Linked DNA regions of Macaca mulatta. The protein of the gene in region 2 purifies or fractionates together with the protein of the main gene of each other region. This does not show direct contact. Links are inferred from orthologs where the notes say so. Each region holds a gene or a part of one and is shown on either strand. Other genes may lie near its edges.

Region 1 (6,028 bases), on a different chromosome or scaffold from region 2:
CTTTAAAAAGAAGGTTTTATGCTATTTTACAATAGTCTCAAAAACAAAAGAAAAAAAGGTGGTTTTATAGTTATAACTAAGGCCACCTTTGTATGTTTTCCTGGCCCCTTTTTCCTTCCCAGAGGAAGTTGTTACTCTTTAAAGTTGATGTTTATTGTTTATGTTTTCCATCCTTGTTTCTAGACACTTACTCATATGTATATGGTCATAAAATGTAATATGGTCTTATGGGCATTGAAGTTGTAAACAAGTGGTATCCGGCTTGGCTCACACTTCTAATCCTGGCACTTTGGGAAGCTGAAACAGGAGGATCATTTGAAGCCACGAGTTCTGTACCAGTCTGATCAATGTAGTGAGACCCCATGTCTACACAAAACTAAAGAGTTAGACGGCATGGTGGCACACACCTGTAGTCCTAGCTACTTGGGAGGCTGAGATGGGAGGATGGCTTGGACTCAGGAGTTTGAGGTTACAGTGAGCTATGATCATCACTGCACTCCAGCCTGGGCAACACAAGACCCAATCTCTTAACAATAAAAAAAGTGGTGTCATATACTTTATCTTTATTTCAAAGTTTAAATAAACGATGCAGTGAAATTCACCTAATAGCTAAATAATCACAGATCAAAACAATGAACAGATTTTTTAGAAGTTTGGTGAGATTTCCATGAAAGATAAGGTTTATATATTTTGATTTTCTTTTTAGATTACATCGTCAGCCCAAACATCTCCTTGCATTTTTGTTGGCTGAATTGGGTACAAGGTAAGAAACTATATACGTTTACATACAGTATTGCTGGACATTTCATAAGAACCTTTCTTAAAAAGGATATGTAACACACTTAGAGAAAACGTTCACCTGATTATTAGAGAAACTTTTAGGCCAGTGGAGGAGTGAAATCACTTTGTTTCTGTGGGAGAGCTTGACTGCTTAGGAATAGGGCACAGAGTTGACATCTGAACAGGCCTGCTGGTGTACCAATGAGAGGACCACAGAACTGCCATGTTTAGACTTTCCTGTTACTAATTTGAAACTCATGAGTCTTTTTATGGAGCAAATATTAGATCTTTAGAGGAATCAGTTTTTTTAAGGTCAGACTATTTTTTCCTAAATTGGTAACAGGCTATTGAAGAAATACAGCTAGGAAGTTGATGAGTGGCACTTTAGAAACCATTGAAACAGGGATCTGTGATGAAGTAGGTAGTTACCTGTCTTCAGGGCTCACCTTTTGAAGGCACTGAGCACGTCATTCCCACCCATTCAGGAAGGCCAAGATCTCATGGAGCCCATGCCAATGAGTTTGACTACTATCTGGAAGCCTAATGTCCCTTTAAAAATAAGTAATGTAGAGTAGGTTATGATAATGATGACTAATGCATATTGAGCACCTCTTGTGAGCCAAGTGCTTTTTTGGGTGCCATCTCAATTAATCTTCACAATAGTTCTATGAAGTAGAAAGTAATATTCCTGTCTTCATGTTTAGAAACAGGTTCAGTAAAGTGAAGTTGTAGTTGGTCACATAGCTAGCTTGCTTAGTGGCAAAGTCAAGATAGATACAATCAGGTCTATCTTTCCCTGCAGCTTGCATCACCTAACAGGCTTGACACCTGTGCCTCACTGGCAGTACAGAGATAATTAAAGTGTTCTCTTCCTACTCTCTTTAAACTGTTGGGATTTGCTACCCTTGGTGTGGGGTTAAGGAGTAATTTACTTGACCATGGTAGATATGTTGGCTCTGCTGTAGAATAATTGTGTTTTTTTGTTTGTATTTTGAGATGGAGTCTCACTCTGTCACCCAGGCTGGAATGTGGTGATCTCTGCTCACTGCAAGCTCCGCCTCCCGGGTTCACGCCATTCTCCTGCCTCAGCCTCCTGAGTAGCGGTGCCCGCCACCACGCCTGGCTAATTTTTTGTATTTTTAGTAGAGATGGGGTTTCCATGTTAGCCAGGATGGTCTCGATCTCCTGACCTGGTGATCCGCCTGTCTCGGCCTCCCAAAGTGCTGGGATTACAGGCGTGAACCACCGCGCCCGCCGTGTTTTAAATATAAATTTGTTACCATCGTTGTTTGTTTGTAACTTGCACAAACTAATGAAGAAGCAAAAGCTAGTGTTGTTTTTTTCTATCGTTAGAATAATCTAGAGGTTTTGTAGAGGTGGGATAAACTATTATAACAAGTTGTGGCCAGTAAACTTACAGTCAAATGGGTTAAATGGGTTTTTGAGAAAATTCCATTTCTTTTGACAGTGAATGAAAAAAAATTTCTACATTAAGCATTGGAATCACTGTAGCCTGGAGATTAAGGGTTCCAGTCTGTGGAGGAGGAAATTTAACCCTGCCTGACTGAATTCTGTTGTTTCACTTTATGATTTATAATTTTGAATGAATGATATCTAGCCTAGAGCTTTGCTTTCTCAAAAGTGCCTGTCAACAGTTTCCTATCAAACAGTTTATCATTAAGTACCATTGACAGTTTCTGGATTGTGATTCAACTATCCTTTTTTTTTCTTGACACAGCTTGATTGAAATGACAGCTTACAAATTTAAAGTATATAATCCAGGGGAGTCCCACTCGGACATCCGTCTCTTTCGCAAGAGCGAGCGAGCTATTCTCCTTTCTCTCTTGCCTATTAAACCTCTACCCCTGGACACCCCCCCGCCCCCTGCCAAAAAAAATATAAAAATAAAATATACAATCCAATGTTGTTTTGTTTTGTTTTTGAGATGGAGTTGTGCTCTGTCGCCCAGGCTGGAGTGCAGTGGCGCGGATCTTGGCTCACTGCAACCTCTGCCTCCCAGGTTCAAGCAATTCTCCTGTCTCAGCCTCCCCAGTAGCTGGGACTATAGGCACACACCACTACGCCTGGCTAATTTTTTTGTATTTGTAGTAGAGATGGGTTTTTACCGTATTGGTCAGGCTGGTTTCGAACTCCTGACCTCAGGTGATCAGCTTGCCTCGGCCTCCCAAAATGCTGGGATTGCAGGTGTGAGCCACGCCTGGCTCCAGTGGTTTTTAATATCACATGTTAAAATTAATATGTATAACTGCTACCACAATCAATTTTAGTATGTATTTTTATCAACTATACTTTTAACCATGACTGAATCAAAATATTTGGTGCTTAGAATTTTAAAAAACAAATGTAGCCCCTTTCATGTTTTTGTATTTCTAGCTCTCTCCTTTCCCTTACTTTGTACATGGTATGATTCGTAAAAGTTTTTTTTCTTTTGTTGGATGGACTTCACACACAATGAAGGAATCAGTTTGTTTTAGACTTAAAATCAATTATAAATCTGATTGTTACCACTGGAGATTTAATTGGATTTGATGTTAGTATGGGCACATCATTAGACACAACCTGTTTGTTTTTTTTTTTGTTTTTTTTTTTTGAGACAGAGTCTCGCTCTGTCGCCCAGGCTGGAGTGCAGTGGCCGGATCTCAGCTCACTGCAAGCTCCGCCTCCCGGGTTCACGCCATTCTCCTGCCTCAGCCTCCCGAGTAGCTGGGACTACAGGCGCCCGCCACCTCGCCCGGCTAGTTTTTTGTATTTTTTTAGTAGAGACGGGGTTTCACCGTGTTAGCCAGGATGGTCTCGATCTCCCGACCTCGTGATCCGCCCGTCTCTGCCTCCCAAAGTGCTGGGATTACAGGCTTGAGCCACCGCGCCCGGCCTAGACACAACCTGTTTAATTAAAAATAAATTTTGAGGCTGGGCGTGGTGGTTTACGCCTGTAATCCCAAGCGCTTTGGGAGGCCATAGTGGGAGGATCACTTGAGTCCAGTAGTTCGAGACCAGCCTGGGCAACATAGGGAGACTCCTCCATCTCTACCAACAACAACAACAAAAAATTAGCAGTTCATAGTGGGGAGTGCCTGTAGTCCTAGCTCAGTTCACAGTGGGGAGTGCCTGTATCCTAGCTTCTTGGCAGGCTTAGGTGGGAGGATTGCTTGAGCTTGGGAGATTGAAGGTGCAGTGAGCCACGATTGCGCCACTGCACTCAAGTCTGGGTGACAGAATGAGACCCCTGTGTCATAAATAAATAAATAAATTTTGGGAAACTAAGTAGTATAGCACCAGTCGTAGAGTTTATCCTATGCTACTGAATATATTTTAAATTCATTAAGTTTAAAGGTGCTGGAATTTGGTTCCTTTAGAAAAAAACAATAATAATGGAGATATTTTTGTTTTCTTTCATAGTGGTTCTATAGATGGTAATAACCAACTTGTAATCAAAGGAAGATTCCAACAGAAACAGATAGAAAATGTCTTGAGAAGATATATCAGTAAGTGTGTAATTAATTTAATTAGATCACCCTGAAATGTTCTCATCAGGCTGCAGTGTTGTAGGAAGATCCATTTGATTGCAGTGAGCTGGGAAAAGCTGGCCTTAAAAAGATCAGAGACAAAATGATAGTGAAAGGGAGGTGGCTCTTGACTACTAACTAGGGGCATAGGGAAGGATTTGGATTTTTAAAGAAAGCCCAGCTGATTGAAGCTGCTGGTTGATTGTAGGGCTAAAGGCCAAGTCAGAGAAACCTGCCTGTGATTCAGGCCTGGCCTTGGCCCCCTTTTGTTCCTAGTTATTTAAAATTGGCATGTCTGCTAACACGTTTGAGTGGCTCTCCTGTAGACAGAAACAAGAATAAGCAAGCTGGCAGGCTTCCCTGCATCCTGGGGCATTGAGTATCAGCCCATGTTTAGTGCCGGAAACGCCACAGCAAGACAGCTTGTGTTTTCTTACCCCTCGGATAGCTGAGCTTCCCTGGTCTGGGTGCCCAGGTAAATTCTCAGCCTGGGCTTATGGAGTTCTTTGTAGGAGATATATTTAAGAAGGCAGAAACTTCTCTACCTCACTGCGGCCACCAGGTAATTGTGTGTTGCTTTATTTGCAGAGGAATATGTCACTTGTCACACATGCCGATCACCGGACACAATCCTACAGAAGGACACACGACTCTATTTCCTACAGTGCGAAACTTGTCATTCTAGATGTTCTGTTGCCAGCATCAAAACCGGCTTCCAGGCTGTCACGGGCAAGCGAGCACAGCTCCGTGCCAAAGCTAACTAATTTGCTAATCACTGATTTTGCAAAGCGTGTTGTGGAGATGTGGCTGGACAGGTTTGCCATCAGAGTGGATATACCGTTGTATTAAAAACAAGATAAAAAAGCTGCCGAGATTTTTGGCGAGTGGTTGGTTGGTCTGAAGTCCTTGCAAGACGCTGATGTTCAAGCTGTTGACATACTCATTGCCTACTTTTAACACCTGTCAGAGAAACGTGATATGGGGTAAGGAGGTGCTTTTTTAAAATCGTTCATAGACTTCTGTAAAATGCAAGATAAATTAAAGTTATTATAACAGTGATTCTTTCAATTTGGTTTGTCCTTCAGTTTTCTTTTCTATAAAAATTGTGCTTGGTGAAATCAGCAAAAAACCAACCACAGAAAACTGTGTGGGCCTGGGCTCTGACAGTCTCTGTATCCTTGTCCTGAGAAACTGGACAGGCACTTCATCTGGGCAGCCATTTCTCTTCTTCTCTGCTTCTCTTGAGATACATAGTTAAAGCAGACACGGCCTCCCACGCGTGTGTGGTGGGACCTTGAGACTTGGGAGGACTGCCTGTTTTCAGTGTCCAGGGAATGACTCCATAGATTTGACTTCTTTTCCCTATGTGAGGATGGTTGCTACTACCTCACCGCCAAGTCCTCCCCCAGCTGTTACCACATGAAGGAATACAAGGTGCTAGGTACCCTCCTTCCTCGTTGACCACTAAGAGGTCTTAGAAACATAGCCTGTAAATGTGTCTTATAACTGGCACACTAAGAAGGATCCTAGTTGAGCATCTCTGTTGGTGAGGAAGCAATGTATGTGCGGTTCAGGAAACTCCTCCAAGAGGAGTCCAAACAGGGATGCTAGAGGAAGCTTTCTGTTTTCCTAGCCAACTTGTGTTCTGGGTTTGAAAAAGACCCACCACAAATGCTTTTCTATTTTCTGATTTAAAAGTTGCTTTTGAATATGACCATGAG
Region 2 (6,620 bases):
GTAACAAGTTACTTAAAACCAACTGTAATACTAAAAAGTCACTGAACACACCTCTAAAGTATACAGCCTGAATAAAAGGTATTTATAAAAATTCCTTCCCTGTAGTATCTATATATTTAAGCTTACAAACTTAGCTGCTTTTCTACACACAACTGCAATTCTATATTAAAGCTTTGCAACTGCCTTAACCTCTACATTCTTTTTTTTTTTTTTTCCCCCGAGACAGAGTCTTGCTCTGTTGCCCGGCTGGAGTGCAGTGGCACGATCTCGGCTCATCGCAACCTCCGCCTCCCGGATTCAAGCGATTCTCCTGCTTCAGCCTCCCGACTAGCTGGGACTACAGGCATGCGCCAACACGCCCGGCTAATTTTCGTAATTTTAGTAGGGACGGGGTTTCGCCATGTTGGCCAGGCTGGACAAACTCCTAACCTCAGGTGATGCACCCGCCTCGGCCTCCCAGAGTGCTGGGATTACAGGCATGAGGCACCGCAACCGGCCTATGCTCAAATGTTTCTTGGGCTGTTAAAGTACTGCTCCTCGCGGAAGCGCTAATGTTCCCGGGATCTGTTTTCTTCCGCACATTTACTCCTATCTTCATTAGAAAACATCTGACCTAAATAAATCCCCCAAAGATGCTGACATCTCCTTCCGCTGCAATTTTTTACTTTCTAAGTCAAATCGAAACAATTATTTGAGCGACCGCTCCTGCCTGCCATTAAGTCTTTCTACCACCACCCTCCAGACATATATACAATATTGCTTCTCTCCCTCAAAACAGAAAGGACTGCATAATTCCAGATCAAGGCATAAATGAACCATTACTGTCCAACCCCCACCAACATACCTTGCAATATTATAATCTATTTACCTCTGCTTTGAAAATGTTATTCTTTAAAGCACTGCTTCCAACTAGCCACTTAGCCAGTAACATTTTTGAGAAAAACAAAACAAAACCTAAAACAATGTATATATTCCTGGGGGGAAGAGTTTCTAACTCAAAATAGGCAGAGAATTCTGTTTATTATTCTAAGGAATACCCTTCTGAAGAGGCCTACGGTCCGTGGGGCAGTTTCTAATTTAAAACTGCTTAGGTGGACGAGGAAGAATGTACATTTAAGGAGATATCTTTAGACATAGATACCTCGCGCAAGCCAAATGCTCGTAGGGTAAGCGACACGACTAGGGGTTAAAAGCGGCTGGCTGGTAGGCCGGGCGCGGTGGCTCACGCCTGTAAGCCCAGCACTTTGGGAGGCTAAGGCGGGCAGATCACCTAAGGTCAGGAGTTCGAGACCAGCCTGGCAAATATGGCGAAGCCCCGTCTCTACTAAAAATACAAAAATCAGCCGGCGTGGAGGCGCGCGCGCTCTCAGCTACTCGAGAGGCTAAGGCAGGAGAATCACTTGACCCCGGGAGGCGGAGGCTGCAGTGAGCCGAGATTGCGCCACTACACTCCAGCCTGGGCACAGAGTGAGACTCCGTCTCAAATAAATAAAAGCAGCTGGTTACTTCTCATTCTCTTTAACGAAACAAACAAAACTGAACTTTGCTGGGTGACAGGAGTGAAGCAAAGGAAAAAAGAAGGATAGTACAAGTTCGATTCGAATTCTTCCAGTCTTATGATTCGATCACTGCAGGAATACTGATAAAAATCTGCGTTTTTCCCAGCTTGATAACTTTTGCGAGGCCAGACTAAACGAATACAACGCTCAAAGGAGACAAGTCTCCTTTTTCCTCCGCTTTCTCAAATTTACCTCTCGCCTTTTCCCTCCCAAAGTCGAACCCCCCCAGGATCGTACAGGCGATATTCCCTCTACCAAGCATTCTACTCCTCTGCAGATGCTGCAACCTTTACACTGGAACCAACACTTAGCTGTGGTGCTCCCCGCTTTCTTTACTCGGAGTAGCCCAGGCTCCTCCGCTCCAATCCCCAGTTTCCCTCTTGGGCGCCTGGACGCGTGCCCAGCCGCAGCCTGAGAGACACCGCGCGGCTGCACGCACCATGCAGATGTGCTCCCTTTCCCCTTCTACTTCTCCTCCCCAAAGAGATTTTGTGTTGTGACTGGCCTGTCCCGGTTACTTACTCCAAGATGTAGGGGTGAAGAACGGAAGAGGACGAAATAACTAGCTGGAGGCAGCAGTGTCAGCCGATGCCGGTGCCACGATTCGAGACACCGGCGCCTCTCGCGGTGCTAACAGGATGGGCGCGCGCCCTCCTCCCGGCATCCGTAGAATCCCCGCCTTTGACCTAGCTCCAGGTGATTACTTTCCGGGTCAGTGTGTGTCTAGGGCAAAAACGGAGTTGTAAACTTCTTAAAATTCCTCTCTCAACATTTCAGTAATTCCTCTTTCGAGACCAAAGCTCTTTTTGTGTGCGTGTGTGTCAAGCGTATGCCCCGGGATTGTCCTTCTCCGCTTCCCTTTCTCGGTGTTCCTTCTTGCTTTAGGGACCGGAAGAGTCCTTGAACCAAAATAGCTCGGTGGGCACTTCCGGGGCCGGAGCCCAGGGTTCCCGGAGGGTGCAAGCAGGAGAGGGAAAGGCAGCGGCGGCGGCAGCTGGAGAATGAAGAAGGAGCATGTGCTGCACTGCCAGTTCTCCGCGTGGTACCCGCTCTTCCGAGGCGTTACCATCAAGAGGTGAGATGGGAGGGGGTTCGCCCGGCCTACCGGCCAAAGGGAACCGCGACTTGTGAGCGAATCTTACTGCCATCCAAAAAAAATGCAGGCCTTCTAGCGACTGCATGGGAGGGAGTGTGTCGAGAGGCAAGTAGGTAAGCAGTTGTCTGCGTCTTGTTGCAAGCCAGCGAGTGTGCTGGCTAGGAGGGTCAGTTGTGGTTTCAGTGAGGGTCGGAGGCGGGAGGAGTAGTGGATTAACGTAGTTTAGGCTTGGGAGTTCACCACCACTACTTTTAGAATGGCCCCCGGCTCAAGATGATCACTGCCCAAGGCCACCCGGTGGCTTAATTGCTTTTACGCCACCTCCCCAGAGGTTGGAGATTGGGAAGGTGAAAGGATACGTAATTACAGTTAGATACGAGAACAAGTACATAGATCTGTTGTATAGCATAGAGACTATAATGACAATATACGTATAGTATTCGTGAAAAACGGAGAGTGGATGTTAGTATTCTTATCACAAAAATAACTCTGTTAGGCAATGCATTTGTTAGTTAGCTACATTTAACTATTCCACAATGTATAAATACTTCAAAGCATTAGGTAGGCGGCAAGTATTAATATATACAATTTCGTCTCTCAGTTTTTTTAAAGGTGTTTATAGAAAATCTGGGGTTTGCACTTACTGATTTTTTTGAGCCAACGTTTCAGTAATTGCTGATTCATTATATAATGGTTTCATTCAATAAAGATTGGGTATGTACTTGAAAATGTGTAATAGGCTCAGAATGGTCAGTTAAAATGTATAAGAAAAGTTTCAGGTTTTTAAATAGTATTGGAATGTCTAGTAGAACCTTGGATTCATTGTACTTAACAATTTCGTTTGTTAGCTTTGTAAGAGTAAAATACTTAGGAAGGCTTGTTTGTAATCAGCCAATAGACACATTAAAAAAGAAAATTGAGTAGTGTATAAATAGAATTTAAATTTTTAAAGAGACTTTTAAGTTACAAAATTTCACATGAAATTGATTAAAATTTAGTAGATTTTCAAACATAATAAGATTTGTTAGATGAAATTGAAAGCCTGAGGAAGAACTAGATTTTTTTTTTTTTTTTTTTGAGACGGAGTTTTGCTCTGTCGCCCAGGCTAGATTGCAGTGGCAGCGATCTTGGCTCACTACAGACTTCGCCTCTGGAGTTCACGCCATTCTCCTGCCACAGCTTCCCGAGTAGCTGGGACTACAGGCGCCCGCCACCACCCCCGGCTAATTTTTTGTATTTTTAGTAGAGACGGGGTTTCACCGTGTTAGCCAGGATGGTCTTGATTTCCTGACCTCGTGATCCTCCCGCCTCGGCCTCCCAAAGTGCTGGGATTACAGGTGTGAGCCACCGCGCTCAGCCAGAACTAGATTTTTGAATGTGAAATCGTACTTTTGATAAATCAAATATTTATTTTTAAAACCGAAGTAGCCCATGAATACTCTTTTTTTTGTGCACAAAATCATTTGTAATGTGCCAAAAAAAACTTATTCCATAAATAAATGAGACATAAGTCACTGATGTTGTGTTAACTTCCTGAAAGCAGGCTGTAAGCTTTTCCACTTTTTGAAAATGTATATGCCTCAAGATCAAAATAATACCAGCACTCTTAGGTATCTGTGGTAGGGCTTTTTGATAATTTATTATTTCAAGGTAAAAACAAATTATCCCATAAGTTTTTAAGAGACTTCAAATATGACTTTGCCATCCTTAATTATGATTATCTGAAACAAATTAAGCTAAAGCATGCCCAGTTTAAGCAGCTTTTATCTCTGGTGATCAGCTGAATAGAATGACAGCAAGACACATCCGAAAGTATCATGAATTCTTAGCTGTGGGTGCTCATTGCCAACCCAAAAATGGTTTCCAGATCTTGACTCTACTTCTGCCCTCTATCTTTAGAAGGTGACCAAACGCTAGTCATCTTCTGGTTTGTTTTGCTGCATTTCCTGTGTTGCAGCAAATATCTGCTGGTCTCTGATGTCTTAAAGACACAGAAATGTTGTGCTCACTCAGAATCCTTTTGAGCTTGTTGCTTTCATACTGTGATTTCCATCTGATTGTTTGGATTTGGCTGGTTTTTGTGGCAATAAGGTGAACCGCAGTATTTAATCATATTATTCTAATTCCTTGTCTGCTGCTACCAAATATACATCATTAACATTTTCTACTTTATATTAAATACGTTTATATTATATTGAAATAAGTAAATCCAAAATCAATAAAGGGTGAACATTTTTCTCTCTGCTTATAGTTGATCTTTTAAAATGATGCCTTTTTTGGTGTTTTTTTTTTTTTTTTTTTTAGTGTCATTCTTCCACTTCCTCAGAATGTGAAGGATTATTTACTCGATGATGGAACTCTGGTGGTTTCAGGAAGGTAAAGTATTTTAGAAAAAAATTTATTAAACTTTATCATAAAGAAGCACATAAAATGAATGAATTAGCTTAGGCACCATTCTCTCCCTTTAGCTCTTTTTCTCTCCTAGCCAAAATGATGTGCTGATCTTTATCTCATATTCCTTGTCAATGCTTACTTAATATTTCAGCATTAAGTACTTTTCCCTCTAATAATGACAAGTTGTGAAATTGAGCAGTTCCTTTCATCTCCGTCTTTAGAAAACAGTTATGATGACAAGTTTTCCTTCTGAAGGTGGCAGGGTGGGGGAAGTGCACATTAAAATTCTTTGAGATCCTTCAGTTTTGACGATTAAAAATTCATTGTTGCAAATAGAAAGCTTTACTAGGCTTTATCATTTCATTCCTCAACATTTTCTTCCCCACAATTGACCTACCGTGGCCCCACCTCCACTTTCTAGAAGCCGTTCAGGTAGTTTGCCTATTTATAGAATAAAGGGAAGAAGTTACTGTGTTTCAGTCTTTTGGATGCAAACTTGAAAACATTGAAGAATCATAGGATTTAGTGAAGTTCTCATTTTTTCATTCGAATCTGCTCAGAAGTCACGTTATGAGTGTTCAGCCCTCACCAGCCTTTCTAAAATAGCCTGACAGTAACCCTATGCCCTAACCTCCCTTCAGTTTTCTGCATCACACTTACTTCCACCTGACAGTTGTTAATTGTTCCATTAGAATGCAGTTTCATGAAAACAGGGACGTGGCCCATTTGTTCACCCCAGCTGGTGGGACAGTGCCTGATACAGCAGAGGTGCTTGATAAACATGTGTTGGATGAAGGAACTCTAGAAATAGAGTAAGAATTGTGTGTTTTCAGTAACACTAAGCGGACCCCATATTTTTGCCTATTGGGTTTTTAATGTGGTTTTCTGTATTATATTTCTGTTTTTGGTATTCATAGAGCCTCAATAACCAGAAAATTGTTAATGTAGCGCCTCATTAACTTTGAGTAATTTGAGGCTAAGGAAACAGTAGGAAAGTCAGACAAGTCTCAACTTTAGGATATTTACAGATACAATTTTTTTTTTTTTTTTTTTTTTTTTTTTTTTGAGACGGAGTCTCGCTCTGTCGCCCAGGCTGGAGTGCAGTGGCACAATCTCGGCTCACTGCAAGCTCCGCCTCCCGGGTTCACGCCATTCTCCTGCCTCAGCCTCCCGAGTAGCTGGGACTACAGGCCCCCGCCCCTGCGCCCGGCTAATTTTTTCTATTTTTAGTAGAGACGGGGTTTCACCATGGTCTCGATCTCCTGACCTTGTGATCCGCCCACCTCGGCCTCCCAAAGTGCTGGGATTACAGGCGTGAGCCACCACGCCCGGCTGTTTTGTTTTTCTTTTGAGACGGAGTCTCACTCTGTCGCCCAGGCTGGAGTGCAGTGGCGTGATCTTGGCTCACTGCAAGCTCCGCCTCCCGGGTTTGCGCCATTCTCCTGCCTCAGCCTCCCGAGCAGCTGGGACTACAGGTGCCTGCCACCTCGCCCGGCTAATTGCTCACTGCAACCTCTGCCTCAAGTGAGTTCAAGTGATTCTCCTGCCTCAGCCTCCCACGTAGCTGGGAC

The links. The genes of interacting proteins can lie anywhere in the genome.
Region 1: the proteins of CDC123 (region 2) and EIF2S2 purify together in Homo sapiens (affinity purification with mass spectrometry; 4 studies listed by BioGRID and IntAct, counting the BioPlex papers as one, with this or other methods). This does not show direct contact. The link is inferred for Macaca mulatta from reciprocal best matches to the Homo sapiens genes CDC123 and EIF2S2.

The regions. Positions count from the first base shown.
Region 1 is NC_133415.1:86,856,547-86,862,574, reverse strand, and holds the end of EIF2S2 (eukaryotic translation initiation factor 2 subunit 2), read left to right. Parts: intron 1-706; coding exon 707-763; intron 764-4,200; coding exon 4,201-4,286; exon of another isoform or gene 4,287-4,895; coding exon 4,896-5,071; 3' UTR 5,072-5,375; downstream 5,376-6,028.
Region 2 is NC_133414.1:13,748,742-13,755,361, forward strand, and holds the start of CDC123 (translation initiation factor eIF2 assembly protein), read left to right. Parts: upstream 1-2,321; 5' UTR 2,322-2,560; coding exon 2,561-2,634; intron 2,635-4,959; coding exon 4,960-5,031; intron 5,032-6,620. UniProt on the Homo sapiens protein: ATP-dependent protein-folding chaperone for the eIF2 complex. Binds to the gamma subunit of the eIF2 complex which allows the subunit to assemble with the alpha and beta subunits.